2 linked regions of the Alligator mississippiensis genome follow. The protein of the gene in region 2 purifies or fractionates together with the protein of the main gene of each other region. This does not show direct contact. Links are inferred from orthologs where the notes say so. Each region holds a gene or a part of one and is shown on either strand. Other genes may lie near its edges.

Region 1 (8,318 bases), on a different chromosome or scaffold from region 2:
AACTGTCCATTTATCGCCCACAAGCAGTTAAATATATTACAGTGTGTGGCATTTCCTATCTTTAGAATCCAAAGACGAACCCTTCTAGTAAAAAGGTAAACAGATGCAACTATTCCACACTGAGGGATGTCCACTGCACAGCTTGCAGAGGTGTTTTGAAGCTCCCTTTTCTTTCTCTGCCCTATTCCTGCCCTTCTTTTCTTAATTGCAATTGCTTCATCATATCTAAAGTTAGCATGGAAGCTTTTTAGAGCACGGGCCACATTACATCTTTATTTTGCAAGCAGCCTGGCACACTTCTGAGTATCATACAAGAACAGCAGACAGTTCTGTGCCCCCGATGAGGGGATAAGGGCTTACAGATTGGCATCTTTAGTATTAAGAAGTGCTTTTGTTGTAGTGATGTCATGTTTTTAGACGAAAATGATCCCCTGGCACTCTTCCCAATACCTTTGTTCACCTCCCCTTATCACTGTCAACATTGTCAGGAGAATCCGGGACAGAATTCCAAGCTGCGTGGTTTTGGTTTGGCACCACTGATAACCCCTACTAATTTTCTTAGAGGCAGCTCAAGACAGGGGAGATAGACAGCCCTAACTAGTGGATAGAGGCAGGAGTGCACTGCGATGTGAGATGACTTGCAAGGAAGAAGAGCACAGTAGACTACATCAGTTTTTAAATAGCACTCCTCACATGCTGGGGCTCCCAAAGCACTTTACAAAGCAATGCATTAGTGACAGTCATAGCTGCTACCTCACAGCAGGCATGGATGCACTTGTGAGTAATTTGTACACAGCCTTGAACATTAAAACCCATTTATCCCAAAATGGAACAGTGGCCAGGACAAAATTATCCAGCAGAAAGCCCCATCAGCGTTTAGCTTCCATTCAGACACACGCGAGACGGCAAGGACAGCAATGTGAAGATGCACAATCCTCAGCCCAAAAGGGCCAATGACCGCTTTTCTCCTCCCTAGGAGCACTGCCATGCCAGGATGGTTGCATGGTAGAGGTCTCTCCGTCTTGTACAACTCATCACATCAAGAATCTCCATTCTGCCCAGAGGCTTAAATCAGCAGTACTGCCTCCAGCCAGTCCAAAACACAGTGAGACGATTTGTAAGGCAGCTGGTCAGCAACCTATCCACACTTCCAGTTTACCCACAAGCTACTTGGCCCTCTTTCCCTTTCTTAAGGGACATAAAGGCAAAAAGTTTCAAAAGACTGGTGACCCTCCACATTCAAGCTCCAAGCAGCCATCAATGAGCGGTCAGATTATTGGAGGTTAGGCAGCAAGTCCTGGTTCCCGCTGCTGCCAGAAGCCTGAACCTCCCACCCTCCTCCTGGTCCACACAGAGCATTTCAACCCCGAAAGCAGCACACACTTACCCAGATCTTACAATCGCACCGCCACACACCAGAGGAGACACCCGCGAGATGGTCACATCAGCCGACCATTTCTCCAAAGCTGGCCGCGTGAATGTGGCCACCAAGGAGGACATCAGGTCTTATAGGTGAAGGGAACTGCAGATGCTTAAGCCCCAAGCTCTGTGCCTCTGCCCCTTGGAGACCTGACATGGATTTCCAACACGCTGCAGTGTGAAATGCAGACAGCACCATCCCTCCCATCATCCCCGGGTCCTCCCCCTGCTTCAGCAGTCCTCATGCATTCTGCAAGACAAACTGACACTTGTCGTTCATCTGGATGAAGGGAGGGTGCGGGGGGATGCTGATGATGTGAATCAAGGAGACAGCAAACACATGCAAAGCAGTCAATTCTCCATGAGCCCAGAGAAGAGACCAGGGAGGGGTGAGTCACTGTTTACTTTCTACACACTAAACTCGCCCAGCTGGCCAGCTTTCCATTTCCCTTATGGATCAGAACCAGCATCCACCAGCAAAGAACAGATTCAGGAACCTTCAGACAGAATTTGAGAGCTGCCGGGACACGACTCGGAGGCTCTCTCGGGGGAAGCCTGGACAGGGATCAGACAGTCTTCAATGCTTTGGTAAACAACCTAGTCAGATGCTGCAGAGAGCCTATGGTTACAGAGCGGCCGATTCAGGCTATCATGAGAGTGTGCCTGTGTGTCACATTACAGAGACCTTGGACTTACAGGGGGGGAAGAGGGAGGGGGAACGGCAGCTACTGAAGAGGTCGGATACACTGCTCACAGCTTCAGACACAGCAGACACAGGGCAGCGCTCCTCCCCACAGTGCGTTTTATGGAAGTGATCAAACGAAAATACACTGCAAAAATGAGTTAAGTCCCACATCACCATAGCACAGAAAAAGTACTTTTGTGACCTGGGGAAATCAAGGTAGTACGTGGTCAGCGATTTCTATGGGGCCAAGAGGCAGAACTGAGATGAGGGCTTGTGAATTCTCCTGAGCCCCGTGGACTAAGTCCAACCTCCACCTCCATGTGAATGTGAATGATGACAGACATGAGGATGGTTATTCAGGCACCCAGACTGCGAGACAGCGAAGCGTGCTGCAGGATGCGCCCAGTTTTAGAGCTGAGCAGCAGGATAATTGCTTTCATTTACTTAAAAAAAAGTTTTTTTGGCATCCCAGGCCCACAGTGAGACAGCCTTCCAAACAAGAGAGAAGCAGCAAAAAGCGATGCAGCAATATCTGCCCGAGTTTGCAGATAGCCTGAAACAACAGCCCAGAAAGGAGCATAAACCGCCTGCGCCTCTTGATGGGGGGCTGAGCCTGAAATTCCCTGATAATTGCAAGCGTCAGCACTGCTGGAGAGTTTCGCAGCTGCATATTTACTCAAACGAGCTGCAAGCGCACTTATCCCACCCGCCCTGACTGCCTGCCATACCGCCTGGGGGGCCAAGAGCTCCAGCTGTCCCTGCTTCCCCTCCCAAACATCCGACTGTTACAAAGTTTCAGTGCAAAACCAGGGGGCTTCAGAAAGCCATTATAAACACTCGGCTGCTTAGGCTTTATTTCATTCACCATTAAACTCTGTTAGTTATTTCAAGCCAGACACAGGTTTAAACCACTACCGCTGCAACAGGTTGGGGAAAGAACATAGGTGAAACTTCCCCAATATGAAGGACCTCTTGTAGCCTTACTTAAAAATACTTCTTGAGGTTGCATATGAATTACCCCAAGATCATTTAACACAGCTAGCCCGAAGTGCAGGAATAAAGCCCCAAAGTCTAAAGTATGTGGAGCATCTTGCTAACCAAAACCCACAAGCCCTCTCCCTGCTGTAACCATCTCCTCCCTGAAAAAAACATCCTCCATATTGTCACCAGGATAGGTACAAACAGGGTTAATCCTCCCTCCCCTCGGTGCTGCCAATGCTAGGCACGGCCATTGGATAACCGGAGCATCCATCATGTTTAGGAAGTGACTGCGGGAGGAAGGTTACTCTGCATTACAGTGTATACACGGAAGAGACAGAGAGCAGGGAGCAAGCACCGGCTCCATCAGTGAGCAAGCAGCAAGGTAAATTCCCTCCATACTAAGCCACTGCAGGACCGCGGCACAGCATGTTGGCTGGGCTGGCGTGGGAGCAGGGGTGCCCCTGCCTGCACATGCCAAGCGCCCAGGGACCGAACCTCCAATAATAAGACGTGCAGCTTTGGATCTGGTGGCACAGGGGCATTTTGGCTTCTCACCTCTTTGCCTTCTCCCCGGCCCCCAGAGCTGAGCTAGGAAGGGGGCAGGAGGGCAGAGAAGGAATGGCAGCTTTTCCATTTCCTGCACTGCCACTTTCCCCAAAGGGCGCTTGCTCCTAAGTGGAGCTGTCCCGGCCTGCTTTCCTCCAGGAGCTGGAGAACGAGTCCCCTCTCCTCCACCCCGCACAGCCCAGGGAAGCAGAGTCCCAGCACCCCTTGGCCACAGGAGGAGGAGGAGGAGGAGGAGGAGGAAGGAGCTCTCTCTCCAACTGACCATGGCATGTTTCTAGAGTTCAGACATGTCTCACTTCCCCTCCCTCGCGGCCTGGACATTTCTCTCACTAGTGCCACTCCTTTGTCGGGGGGGAAGGGAGCAGAAGCCAGGCTTCTCCACCCCCACGGAGCTAACATCCCACCCCACCACCCGCTCAGGGGGAGAAAAGCGGTTCTCAGGAAGCCCCACCCGCCCTCTGCGGAGGGCGCGGTCTCGAAACCCCACCGGTCTACTTGGCAGGTGTCCCCTCCAGCAAGCCACCTCGTCCCCGGCTGGCCTGCGTCCCCACCGGCCAGCCAGGGACCCCTCCAGCACGGCCCCTCCTCGGTCTGCCGGGCCGTCGCTCCCATCCCTGCCACCAAGAAGTCACTTGCTCCATCGCTCTCCCGCAGCAACGCGCCCTCTGCTACTATCCGCCCGACGCAGGGCGACCCGGGCGCGTCTCCGAGCACGGCGCGCAGGGCACAACCGGGGACCCGCTGGCTCGTTTCCAGCGCCCCCAAGGTCCACCCAAGCACAGCCGGGGTCTCGCCGGCCTCTCGAGACCCAGGCGGACCCCGGCCAGGCAGCATCCCGCCCCTTCCCAAACCGCCCAACTTTTGTGCAACAGGCGAGGGCTTCTTCAGGCCACGGGGGCCAAGCCCTGGGGACCCTCCTCCGGAGGGGGCTTCTCCCTGGTACTGAGCCCCCAGCCCGGCTCCGTGCTCCCCCTCCAGCCCGGGCCCCGCGGCCACGTGGGAGCAGAGCCCCGGGTGGGGCCGGGCGCCCCGTGCTGAGTCACGCGGCGGGGCCGACCCCGCATCCAGCGGGCCCAGGCCACGTGCGCCCCGCGCTGACTCAGCGGCTCGGCTCGGCCCGGCCGGGCCCGACCCCCGCCCCGCTCCGCGCCCCGCGCCCCCCTCACCCGCGCGGCGGGGCCGGGCTCCGCAGCCGCCCTCCCTGCGAGCCAGTCCCGGGAACAACAACAAGCGCGGCCCCCTCCCCCCCCGCCCCGCACCGGCCCCGCCCCCCGCGCCCGCCCGCCCGGCCAACCAGCGCCCGCCCCGCTTCCGGGAACCACGCGTCACGGCTCGCGTCGCGCGGCCACGCCCCTGCCGGCGCCGCCGCGTCACGAGGCCACGCCCACGCGGTTCATTCATGTGGAAGGTAGGGAGAAAGCGTGAGGGCTCTCGTGATTGGCGGAGCGCGCGCGCGGTCGGGCGCCGTGCTCATTGGCGAAGCGCGCGGGGCTCCCGGCGGAGGGTCGTCGGAGCCTCTGCTACACTATTCCCTGGCTCGTGGCGGGGAGGAACCCCCACCTCACCTCCCTTCCCCCGGCCTGTTCCTCCCTGCCTGTTTCGGTTTCAGTTTCTTTTGCTTTGCAAGCACTTCCTCCTGGAGCCGCCCCCGGGGGCTTTTGCGCAACCCGCAAGGCCGCAGAAAAAGGCACGTGTCCAGTTGCCACATCTGGGCGAGGGCAAGCGAGGTCCCTGGGAAGGTTCCTGGGAAGAAAGAAGCAACCTCCAGGCTAGGGCAGGCGAGGAAAGCCGCAGAATTGGCGCTGGGACTTGCTGGTCCCGTCTTCGTCTTGTCGCCCACCTCCCGCGTGCAGAAGTTGTGACCCCAGTCACGAAAATCACCTCCTTCCTAACCTAAAGGCTTTGGGGTTTTTGGCGGATGGTTGGTGTTTTCAAATCCTTGGTGAAGGAAGGAAACATCTGTCCTTAAAAGCAAAAGTTTCCCGGTGTCTGCTTTCAGGAGCCGGGGATTTAACCGTTCGTTGGATATTGCGACTGGCCAACGAAATCCCGAGTTGTGGCGGCGCTTCCTCGTCGCTGAGCGTCGCGTCGACCGTGCGAGCAACATTTTAGACCCCCGAGAGCACTACGTCTTCCCAATTTTAGACCAGGGTGAACTAGCCTAGACTTTTAATGAAAAAAGATGCAGAGTTTTGTATATCGACACCAGGCTTTTAGTCTCTCTGTGATTAGGCTTGTGACTATATTTGAACTGAAAAACTACCTGCCAATCTAGGCCAGTGGTGCTCAGCTTGAGGGCCAAAGATGTCATGTCAAAGATGTCAAACATCATCAATATGTTGAGCCAGAATCTCTGTCTCGCGCCACCCCCTTTTGCACAGCTCGGGTAGTGAAGGGAGCAGAAAATCCTGCTGGGATTTTCCCAGTAACAAGGGGAGGTGTCAAGCCAGCATATCTGGCTCCTTCATGTTCCTTTGAACAGCCCAAGGCACAGGGGAGGGTGAGAACAGCAGGGAGGAAATGTGGCTGGACCCTTAAGTGCTCCAAGTACCCTCAACTGGTAGGATGGTTCCTGTAAAGACATAGAAATAGCATAATTTAGAGCACCCTCCAGGCTACTCTAACATTTGCTGAGGCAGCAGATCAAGGAGTCAGAACTGGCTATTTATTGGCTTTCATTTCCTGCTCCTTTTTCCCTTTTTCCAAGCAGAGCTGGACGCAGGCATGAGCGAACCGGGTGGCTGCCCAGGGTCCAGACAAAGAGGGAGCCCAAAAATGGGGAAAAAAATCACAATTGCAAAAAAAAAGTTTTAATATTGTGCATATATGGGACTGGCAATGTTGTCAGTTGAGAATGAACTATTTAAATACATCAGTACCACAAATGTGATAAAGACTTTTGCAACAACAAAAAAAATCATTATCTTTGGCGAAGGGGGCCCAATACTCAGAGCCGTCCCTAGGGTACAGTGGATCGGGGCGACCGTCCCAGGCCCTGCACTTTGCAGGGGCCCTGCGGAGCCGGGCGGAGTGCCTGCAGCCCCTCCCATGGGGCCTGCCTGGAGCTGGCGGCTCAGCCCTGTGCCGTGGAAGAAGCACGGAGAGCCACCCCTTGCAGGGGTACCATGACCCCATGCAGTGTTAAGGGGGCCCCGCACAGGCTGATTTGCCTTGTGTCCTGCACCACCCTAGGGTTGGCTCAGGCAATACTAAAAGTTTGGCCAGGACCACCAGGCGTCTAGGTACAGCACTGCTCCCAAGCAGAAGTCGTGTCCATTTGGAACGGAGAGAACCAGGCTGGCTAAAGTTTCCAAAGCTCTAAGGCCCAGGTGCCAATGCCATTGGTCTTCATGTGTCCCAAGGTTATGCACCCTGTTAAAACCCTGCGGTGGACTTTCCCGCTGTGGACTGCAGTCCCAGGCGTGGGTGTACCTGATGTGGACGCACACACCTAGGGCTCAGAGTTCAAGGGCAGCTTGTAGCTTCTTTGTGCCCACTCACAGTATGGGGCCAGTAATGCTGGGTTTATTCCTTGTGGCTGCTTGAAGTTAGCATGGAGCAGAGAGACAGAGCTCCCACATCCAGAGTGAATATCAGATCCCAGAGTACCTTGGCATGGGGGATTTTTAATACCAGGTTGTCACAGGATAGGGGAAGGCAGCCTGCAGTATGGTTCTGGTGTAGTCACAGCTGGGTTAGAAAACCGTTGTCTGGTGTTGGGTGAGAGCCATGCCTGATCACATTAATAAAGGGCTCAGTTAAAGGGGCAGGGCTGGGTCCCTGAGCTTGGTAAAGTTGCTCTGCTTCTCTGGAGAAGCCCACTTTAGCCGGCAGCCTGCTCAGGTGGCTGGGAGAGGCTTTTCCATGTTGTGGCCAGTCTGCACTTGTAAGCAACAGGGTTTTTTCAGTGTGAAATTACACAGCTAGTGGTGGTGACCCATTCACAATAGCTACTTCTTTCTGGCTTCTGTTTAGTGCACGTGGAAAGGGCTGTTACATTTTTCTGGTGAACTACCTCCTGTTGGCTTTCATTAATAAGCAGAAAAAAGCTCTCCTTTCTCTGTTCCCCAGTGAATGTAACATAGGGTGGGACCATTTGACAAAATGGTTGGTGGGATGTAAGATGCAAAAGGTTGAGAACCGCTGGCCTAGGGGGCCTTGAACAAGCCCCTGACCCAGTATCATCTGGGAAGCAGGGATCATAAGACTTATCCAGGTTTGTAATGAGCTTTAAAATCCTCTTTACAAATTCCCACTGTGTTTGGACAATGAAGAGGACCCGGTAACCATCGATACCATATTGTTGATTATGGAGTTTATTAAAACTCTGGCTATAAACAGAAAAGGTTTGGGTAGAAATAACTTGAACTTCAAGCCGCATGCAATACGGTAGGATTGATGAGCTGCTACTAGGCAGAAGCGGTAGAGACTCCGAAGGGGCTTCTCTCAGGAGTTTTACGGTATAGCAGGCAGAAGTGCTGCAAGCTGGGAGACCTCCCTGTCTTCCCGCAACCACAATGTCAAGAGGAGACACGTGTATGTAAGCTGCTTAGGACCCAAAGGATCAGGCCCCGGGGGCAGCAAAATAGCGGTGCAGAGAGGAAAGGCTCGGTGATTTGGGCTGAATACCAGAGCTCAGCATGCCTGGGCAGGGGGGTATTTTTAA
Region 2 (8,744 bases):
GGACACAAGTTGTCACTAGAGTATATACTGCATGCATGAATTCCATTAATATCAGTGGCTCTGTATGAAGAAAGAACCCAGAACATGGGCTCCAACATTCAGTTGCCTAATTTTTTCCAGCCATGTATTGACCATTTTAGCTTAATAAGCACATCAGGGAGTATATCACTTTGGTCTCTGCCCTCTGCACCCCGATAGTCAACATCTTACCAAATTTACAAAAATATATATTTGTGAATATTTTTGTAAATGCAACATTAGCTAATACTACATCCTTACACTACCTGTGGCCCTACAGAAATTTTCATTAGAGGATCTTAAGATGCCTTAAAAATATGAATTGCTTTTGCAAAATGGCTATCAAGTATTCTTCCCATTTTAGATTTGGGTAAACTGAGGTACATCGCATTACACATCTTGCCCAATATTATCCAGCAGGTAAAACAATGATCTAGAGCACTGATTCTCAACCAGCACCTGAGATGCCATGAGATGCCTTTAAAGCTGCCACAAAATTAGCACTGTTAGTTATGCACACACCTACACATGATTAACAAGACTTCAAATAAGAATTCATAGCATCAAAAACATTCTGACCTGTTGCAGTCTTTCTGGTTTCTCTGCAACAGAAGAATGGCTCTATTATTTTTCCATAGCCAAAAACTGAAGGAAAGCTAAGAGCTGACATTTTCCAAGTAGTGCCTTGAGTCTTACAAGGTTGAGAACCACTGATCTAGAGACAGAAATTTGTAATCCTAATTCCCAATCCCCTACTGTGACAAGACAGGGTTTCCTTCCATTTTGTGCAGATGGCATTCAACACCATCAAATTAGCTTTTGGAGTTAGATAGTATTTCACCATAGTATATAGGATACATGCTTTTAGTGTCATTTTCATGCTCAACTATGGCAGTCCACCTGCTATACGGGCAATGACATACTATTGATGAACCCCGTGCAAGAGGATGCAAAGCTAATTCAGATTTTCAAAAGAATGTGCATGCATCTTAAAAATATGTACAGTTTTGATTTATGGGATGACGTATCTTCTAAAATGTTAAAGAAGCACTACTAATACTAGCCCAGGAGTCAATGGTTTAACATGTTTCCTTGGCAATTTTATTCTATCCATAGTATTAAAAGCAACTACTCCTTGTTTCTTACCAAAACGCCAATTTCCTCATATACAAAAAACCCCCGTCACATTATACAAAGCACCACCTCCAAACAATACACCACTGCATGCAGCCAAAACAAAATCTCATACAAATCCACCTGCAAAGAAAAATTCCACTCCCAGTTCAAGCCTTTGAATACTGAATTAAAATGCACACATTTATGACAATTCCAAAGACCTAAAAAAATTTTTTTTGTCATGAAAACACTGACAAGTCTTCAACCATGGCAGAGAAAACAGCAACACTATAATTTAGCAATCTTCCCAACAGACTAAAGACTAATTCTAATAAGGTGTCATTTCTGCCTCACATTTATGATTATCTTCAAGAATGAAAAACGTCGTTTACTCCAGAGCTGGCAGGGCTTCAGTAATAAGAGCACGGTGATCTCACAATAACCAAAGCATTTTTAAGGAAGACACCCGCTGTATTATAAAAATAGCCTGTTCCACAAAAGGCGAGGCATGATTTCACACTTAGCTACTTTCATGACAGCCAGAGCCTCTGCAGCTAACTGCCTTACCTACATGCTATGTTTTAGTGATCCAAGAAAATTATCAGAGTTAACATCTCTCTCCAGTTTTACTCCAAACCAGAAAAAAAAAGAGAGAAAAGTATTTCATTAAGTTTCATCTCTTGTCAGGTTCCCAACAGACAGGAAAGATTTTATGGGGAGTAATTAATTTTTTTTTGGTTTAGTACACTGAACTGATTAAATTGATATAGAGACACTGCTCTTAAGAAAAGGTGCTGCCTGATACACAACCATGAAGAAGTTTGGAGCAGATGCTTGGCTATTTAAAGCAGGTTCTTGCTTGCCACAAAGGCACCTCCAAGGGAGTAGAGTCAGTTGCCAACTGTGTTGAGTGCGTCAAATAAAAAATACATCTATGGTTGTTTGTGGCAACAACTTGTGGTCAAGTTACAGCAGAGTTGGAGCCCCAGGTGCATGTGGGGGACAGCCCCCTCCAAACACCCCAATGCAATCTTAGACAAACCACAGAAGCAGGAAAGCAGCAGCAGTGACTCAGTCCCCCCAGGCAGCAGCTTTGGAAGTGACCCCCAACACTTCACTGCACACTGCCTGCACCAAGGAAGAGTGTGTGTGGGGGTTGGGGGAAGGGGGACACCAGGGCACTAAGCAACAGGGTGGCTCCTGATCCATAACAGAAACCCCTAGACAGAAAGAGCTCAGGTGGGAGCATTCCCTGCAGGTGTGCTGGGGGGAGGGGTTGCTCTGGAGGGAACCTAAGCCCCAAATTCAGCCCTGCTCACACTCATGGGGATGGGACCCACCCCCCCTTTCTCCCTGCCCTGCTGCTCGGATCTGGGGCACAAAAGAGTGAAAAGCACCCAGCAGATGAGGGGGGGGGGAGACGGGGGACATGACACACGACCCAAGGGGGTCTTTAGGATCCTTCCAAATCTGACGGCGCCTTTACTCAGGGCCCACAAATCCAGCCCCCCGCCCCCTGCTCCTCCTTGCACACCCACCCCAAGGGCAGCACTCTCCCCCCTCATGCAATGAAAGGCAGTCGCCCCCTGCAACACCCGCCCCCTCCTCCTTCACACCCAGCCATCATGTTCTCCCCAGCCCCACACAGCTGGAGGGACATACACAGCTGGAGGCACACACAGAGACTTGGGTGCCTCTTGCCCACTCTCAGTGACGCAACCTGCGCGCACTCCCCACTTGGCAGATGGGGCTGAGCAGCCTCCTGCCCAGGGAAGGGGTTAAAGGGGGGCAGGTAGGCCCCCCCCCGCCGGGCAGGTGAAGGGACCCCCCAAGCTTTCCTCTTCTTTCAGGAGACACCAAACCGATGCAGCCCGTCCCAGCTGCAGCCCCCTACCCCTGCAAACTTCATCCCCATCCATCCCCTCCCAGGAGCAGTGGGGGCGCGGAGGGGGAGGGAGGGCGGGGAGAAAAGCACTCACCTTGGCTGAATGCAACTTTGGGTCGCTCCCCCTGAGGTGGGGGCGGCCGGGCAGGGAGGACCGGGCTGTTTCCCGGCGGCGGAGGGGGGTGCTTCAAAGGCGCGCACCGCGAGCTGCCCCCGGAGAGACGCGCATCACATGGCGCGGGCTGCCGAGCGCTGCTCCCCGTCCTGCCGCGGGGAAGAAAGGGAGGGGGCGGCTGGGAAGAGGCGGGCGGGGGCAGGAGGAGCGGAGGCGGCTGCAGCAGCTGGGAGGCGCGACGGCACCGCGGAGGAGCTGCTGCTGCTGCAGCCGGGGCGGGCGCGGCGCGAGGCGGCGGCAGCGGCGGCTGGAGTCCCGGGCAGCCCGGCGGCGGCGGTGCGCGTGCGGCGGCGGCCCCGGTGTGCGGCCACCCGCTCCCCGCGCTCCGCTCCTGCTGCGGCGCCTCCTCCCTCAATCGCTACATTGTTGACATTCGAAGGCTGACATCATCCCCCTGCCCCCCGCCTTCCCCATTCACAAGTGCGTTACGCAAACCACGTAGCACTCCGCCGCCTCAGCGGACAGCAGCTCTACGCACGGCAACACGCGTAGCGCCGCTTCGGGACCCTCGGCGCATGCGCATCCTCCCCCCCGCCCCGGGTTGTCGGAGAGAGAATCGCGCCGGGTCCGCGCGGCGTCTCGCGCGCGGCCGAACGGGACGCTGGGAGTTGTAGTTCCCGCTGACCCTGAGGAGGGGAGGGGCGGGGCGGTGAGATGAGCTCACTGGTTGTCCAAGAAGGACAAGGGCAAGTTGTGGTTGGCCTGTGCTCCCTTACACACACACACCCCCCTTGGCCCACTCCACTGCCACACACACACACCCACTCCCTCACCACACACACACCTGACCCACTCCCCCACCACACACACGCGCACCCTTCCCACTCCATGCCCCAACCACACACACCCACACACTGCCCCACTCCCCTGCCACAGACACACACACAGCCCCTTCCCACACCCTCCCCCCACCTCACTCTCCTACCCCACTCCCCCACCATCCACCTACCCACTCTGCTAGGATTCATGGAGCTGGGCCCATCAGGGCATGGAGCAGAGGCTCAAGCCAAAATGGTCTAGAGAACCGAGGATAGTGACCTAGGGCCACAGCATGACAAAGCTGCCATGGTGCTTTGCCAGGCCGGGCTCCGAATCTAGTCACCCCTGCATCAACACGACCGGAGGGCGGTTCCCCATGTTGATTCCAGGCTACCTGGTCTATAGAAGGCAGGGGAGAATTGTGTGCCGGCTGGGTGTGAACCCGGGCCCTTTGTCGCGCTGCACGCGGGCTGTGGCCGGCAGCCCGGGCACGCCGGGTCGGAGAGGGCGGGCGCCGAGCTAGAATTAGGCACAGACACGTAACGGTTGATTTTAAGATTGTTTACTTACACCGAGATGGTCGCGGTGCAGGCTGAAAAACTTGTTTGAGTTGCGGTTACAAACAGAAAACACGAACTATCACATGGAGTTTGCTAGGCTCCACGTAGACAGAACTCCGGATGTCCAGGACAAGCGCGCCTCAAAATAGAAAACTCGTCGATACGTCTTATAGAAAGTTACCGCTCAAAAACGGGAAGAGGTGGGCGGTGGATCAGGCCTCCAAACTCCTCTGAGTAACACTCAGGGCTTCGATGACCCTGCCGTGTGCCCAGAGTCCCCACGAGATGGATGTGGAGTCCTCTTCGGCTTGGGCGGAAACTGCTCAAGCCTCTTATATGGCTAGCAGGCCAATCGCTAGCCGCCATGTGGGAATAATTTAGAACTAGCCAATAGCGGGACACAAATTTGCATGCGAAGAGCGGGAACTCTTTGCACCGTGCATTTCTGTGTTGCAAAGAAAATGCACCCTGCAAAGACAGCTGCAAAGTGGCGGGAACTCTCTCCTTTGCACGCAGGTTCTCTGTACAGCAAAACTCACTGTGCAATGAAGCTGTAAACCTACGGGGATAATTCTAGTGCTGAAGCACACACAAAATCAGACCTTTGGGTCATGACAATATGCACCTTGTAGACTAATCAAAGTAGATCCATCTATCCATCTATTGATTTATCTGTACCACAAGCTTTCATGAGCTGAAGCTTACTTCATCAGATGCGATGAAAGGACACAGAAAACACCCTGACCTGACCAGGTCCCTGAAAATCTCCTGCCCAGATCACATTTCCAGACCCATATATCCCACTAGGATGGGTGGCCTCCCACCAGATCAGAAGAATAGGAAGAAGAGGTCACCTCCCATCAGATCAGAAGAATGGCTAAAAAAAGAGCCCAAAGAGCCTGAAAATAACATGAGAGATTGGGTTCTTTTGCCCTGTATTCTGGGTTTGAAGATGTGCAAGCAAATATTTTCCAGTCTCCCCTCCCCGCCATCAACCTCAAAAAAAGTGAAGGCTGAGATTCTTGTGCAGTCACTTTGAGTCAAGCAGCAGGGGCTTTAAAAAAAATGCCATATACCATGAGATTTGGGATGAAATCCTGAGTTTATAAATACTAACATTAGAACAGGAGTAAACAGAATTTAGTACGCCTAATGTATGTAACCGTGAGAAAGGTAATTTGCCATGGTAGTCTAAAGTTAGATAGAAGGCAGGGCATATGGCACCATCTAAATTAGCTCATTCAGAGGCAGAAGCCTTTATATGAAAGCATCTCAGGAAGTAGGCTGTAGAAATGCTGTTCCTCTTAATGGGTTAGCCAATAAGGTGCTCCACCATATGTAACCACATTCAGGTGAGAAGAACATTTTAGATTAAAGGGATCCTGTTAAAGATGAAAGTAAGCAAGCAAATGATTCACACCAGGAGCTCTGAATGAGGTATTAGCACTTGAGGGATTTAGCGAACTGGGATTTTTACATTTTACTAAAATGTAAAAGAAAATATTCCCAAGAGAATATACAATAAATGTTGGCTTGTTGCAGACAAAGCTACAATTAGTACTTAACATTTCTGTATTTGTGAATGCTTTGGGGGTCTTATGTCAGATTGTTTATTTTCATTCTATAGGCTACAACTAGATCTGGACAGGTTACAGAGGTGGGTGGATGATAATAGGATGGGTTTCAACACGGACAAGTGCAAGGTACTGTACCTGGGGATGAAGAACCAGCAGCATACCTACAGGCTGGGGAACTCCCTTCTTGTCAGCACAGAGGCAGAAAAGGATCTTGGAGTCACTATTGATTCCAAGATGAACATGGGCTGCCAGTGTGGGAACGTGGTCAGGAAGGCTAACCGCACCTTGTCATGCATCCACAGATGCATCACGAACAAGTCCCAGGAGGTGATCCTCTCCCTCTATGTGACACTGGTCAGGCCGCAGTTGGAGTACTGCATCTAGTTCTGGGCGCTGCACTTCAGGAGGGATGTGGACAGCATCGAGAGGGTCCAGAGGAGGGCCACTCGGATGATCAGGGGGCAGCAGGGGAGGCCCTATGAGGAGAGGCTACGGGACCTGAACCTGTTCAGCCTCCACAAAAGAAGGTTGAGAGGGGATCTGGTGGCCACCTATAAACTTGCCAAAGGGGACCAGCAGGCAATGGGAGAGTCCCTGTTCCCCCGAGTACTACCAGGGGTAACAAGGAACAACAACCATAAGTTGACTGAGAGTAGATTCAGGCTAGATATCAGAAGGCACTACTTCACAGTCAGGGCGGCTAGGATCTGGAACCAACTTCCAAGGGAAGTGGTGCTCACCCCTACCCTGGGGGTCTTCAAAAGGAGGCTAGACAGCCACGTAGCCAGGGTCATTTAAACCCAGCATCCTTTCCTGCCCAAGGCAGGAGGTCAGACTTGATGATCTGCTTAGGTCCCTTCCGACCCTGCCAACTATGAAACTATGAAACATTCTCTTATGTTACTGTGATTTTACAGAATGTTATTTTCCATCTCATCCAACAGCTGTATGTGGAGAGGAACTTCTGATGCCCCCTTCTGAGATTAGAGTTGCTGCATCTGATGGGCTGTATTTTCAAGCGTAATTAATGGCACTTCACACAAACATACAATGTCAACATTTTACTCAGGGTAGAGTACATAGTGTGATTTTTCTGGTATTGATTATCCAGTATTGTCAACTTTGTGAAGATATGCAGCTGCAGAAAATGAATGTAATCTGCCCCCAAATTTATGATTTTCTGTCTATTATTCAGGTAAAATACTGCTCATAGCTGGGTTTTTTGGCCCTGGTCATGAAAACATGTATGTGTACACACACCTTGTTTTAATCATATTACAAGTCTAATTCAATGCCATGAGTCTACTCAGGTATTCAGTTGTTTACAGCTGAGCTCAAGCCTCAGTCCACAGGCCAGATCCAGGCTACAGAACTATACTATCCAGCCCTCAGGGGCCCCAATGGGTCTCAGTCTCAAAATTTGATGGCAAGGGAGCAGCAGCAACAAGCGTTTCTTTTCTGCTGCCAAGTTTCTGGGTCCAGGGGAGCCCTGCATGCTGGAGAGCATGCTAGATCAGTGTGGAGATGTGGCCTGGGCCCCAATCGAGCTGAGGGAGGCGGAGTGGAGTCTGATCCTGGCACATGGGTCATGATGTGGCCTGCAGACTGGCCCCAGGCCATTTGTCCAGCCTTTGGCACCAAAAGGATGAGCAGCATTGGTTTACAGGACTAAGGGCTTAAAATGTTTGCCTCCATTGCTTTGCCTTCCAAAGGGATGCAAAACGAATTAATTTTGATAGAACTGAGTGTCAAAAATAATACCATTGTATTAGTCGCACACTTTCAGAGAGCTTCTGAAAGCAAGCATTATGTTTCTTATATCATCAGTTTCACATGCATGTTCCATAGTAAACCTTGCAGAGTTTGGGGGAGACATTCCATGAGTGAATCAATGCTAAACTGAGGGTGATAACGTTAAGAAAGGAGACTGAGCGAGGAAAAAAAAATACAGTCATGTTCTGTCCAAGTGGAAACCAAACTAAATAGCTTTATTGTACAAACCTCCCAAAACTCTGCTTATATCCTACACATCTTCAAAGAAATAATTCTTTACTAACTAATGTTTTAAAATCAATGTAAAATAAACATAAAACTAAAAGCTCTCAGTCTGAGTTAAACTAGCTTTGTAATTAATTCAATCCCATTTTAGTCAGTGGCAAAACCTCCACTGACGTCAATAAAAAAGGGATCATGCCTCCTCAGGGGAATATTCAGTGCATTGTGAAGAGAACTGGAGGCCCACTGGGAGTTAGGCACCTAGGTGCTTGTGAAGATCCCACTAGGTACCTAGCTGCATCTTTAGGTGCCTAAATACCATTAAAAATTTAGCCCTAGGGAACCAAGTACCAGAAACAGAAAATGATCTTTAAATTCTTTATGCACCATTCAGAAAGTGTTTACAGTGTTCACCAGTGAAAGTACTGGTTATACACTAACGTTAACAATTTGAAAAAGATTTACCAACGACAATGATAGAAGACCAACGAGGAAAATATTACATGTAGCTGAATGAAAGGAGACTTTACAAAGAAAGAGATGTGCTATTTTTTATATTATCTATATTGTATTTTGATGGTTGGCAACTGTAATGTTTTAAAGAGATATCATCATCAGAAAAGCTCTCCAAAATGGAAACATTTTCTCATAATAATAAT

Evidence for each region.
Region 1: the proteins of BACH2 (region 2) and MAFK purify together in Homo sapiens (co-immunoprecipitation; 3 studies listed by BioGRID and IntAct, with this or other methods). This does not show direct contact. The link is inferred for Alligator mississippiensis from reciprocal best matches to the Homo sapiens genes BACH2 and MAFK.

The regions. Positions count from the first base shown.
Region 1 is NC_081836.1:50,335,760-50,344,077, reverse strand, and holds the start of MAFK (transcription factor MafK), read right to left. Parts: upstream 3,372-8,318; 5' UTR 1-3,371. UniProt on the Homo sapiens protein: Since they lack a putative transactivation domain, the small Mafs behave as transcriptional repressors when they dimerize among themselves.
Region 2 is NC_081824.1:77,764,661-77,773,404, forward strand, and holds the start of BACH2 (transcription regulator protein BACH2), read right to left. Parts: upstream 3,693-8,744; 5' UTR 3,114-3,692; intron 1-3,113. UniProt on the Homo sapiens protein: Transcriptional regulator that acts as a repressor or activator. Binds to Maf recognition elements (MARE). Plays an important role in coordinating transcription activation and repression by MAFK.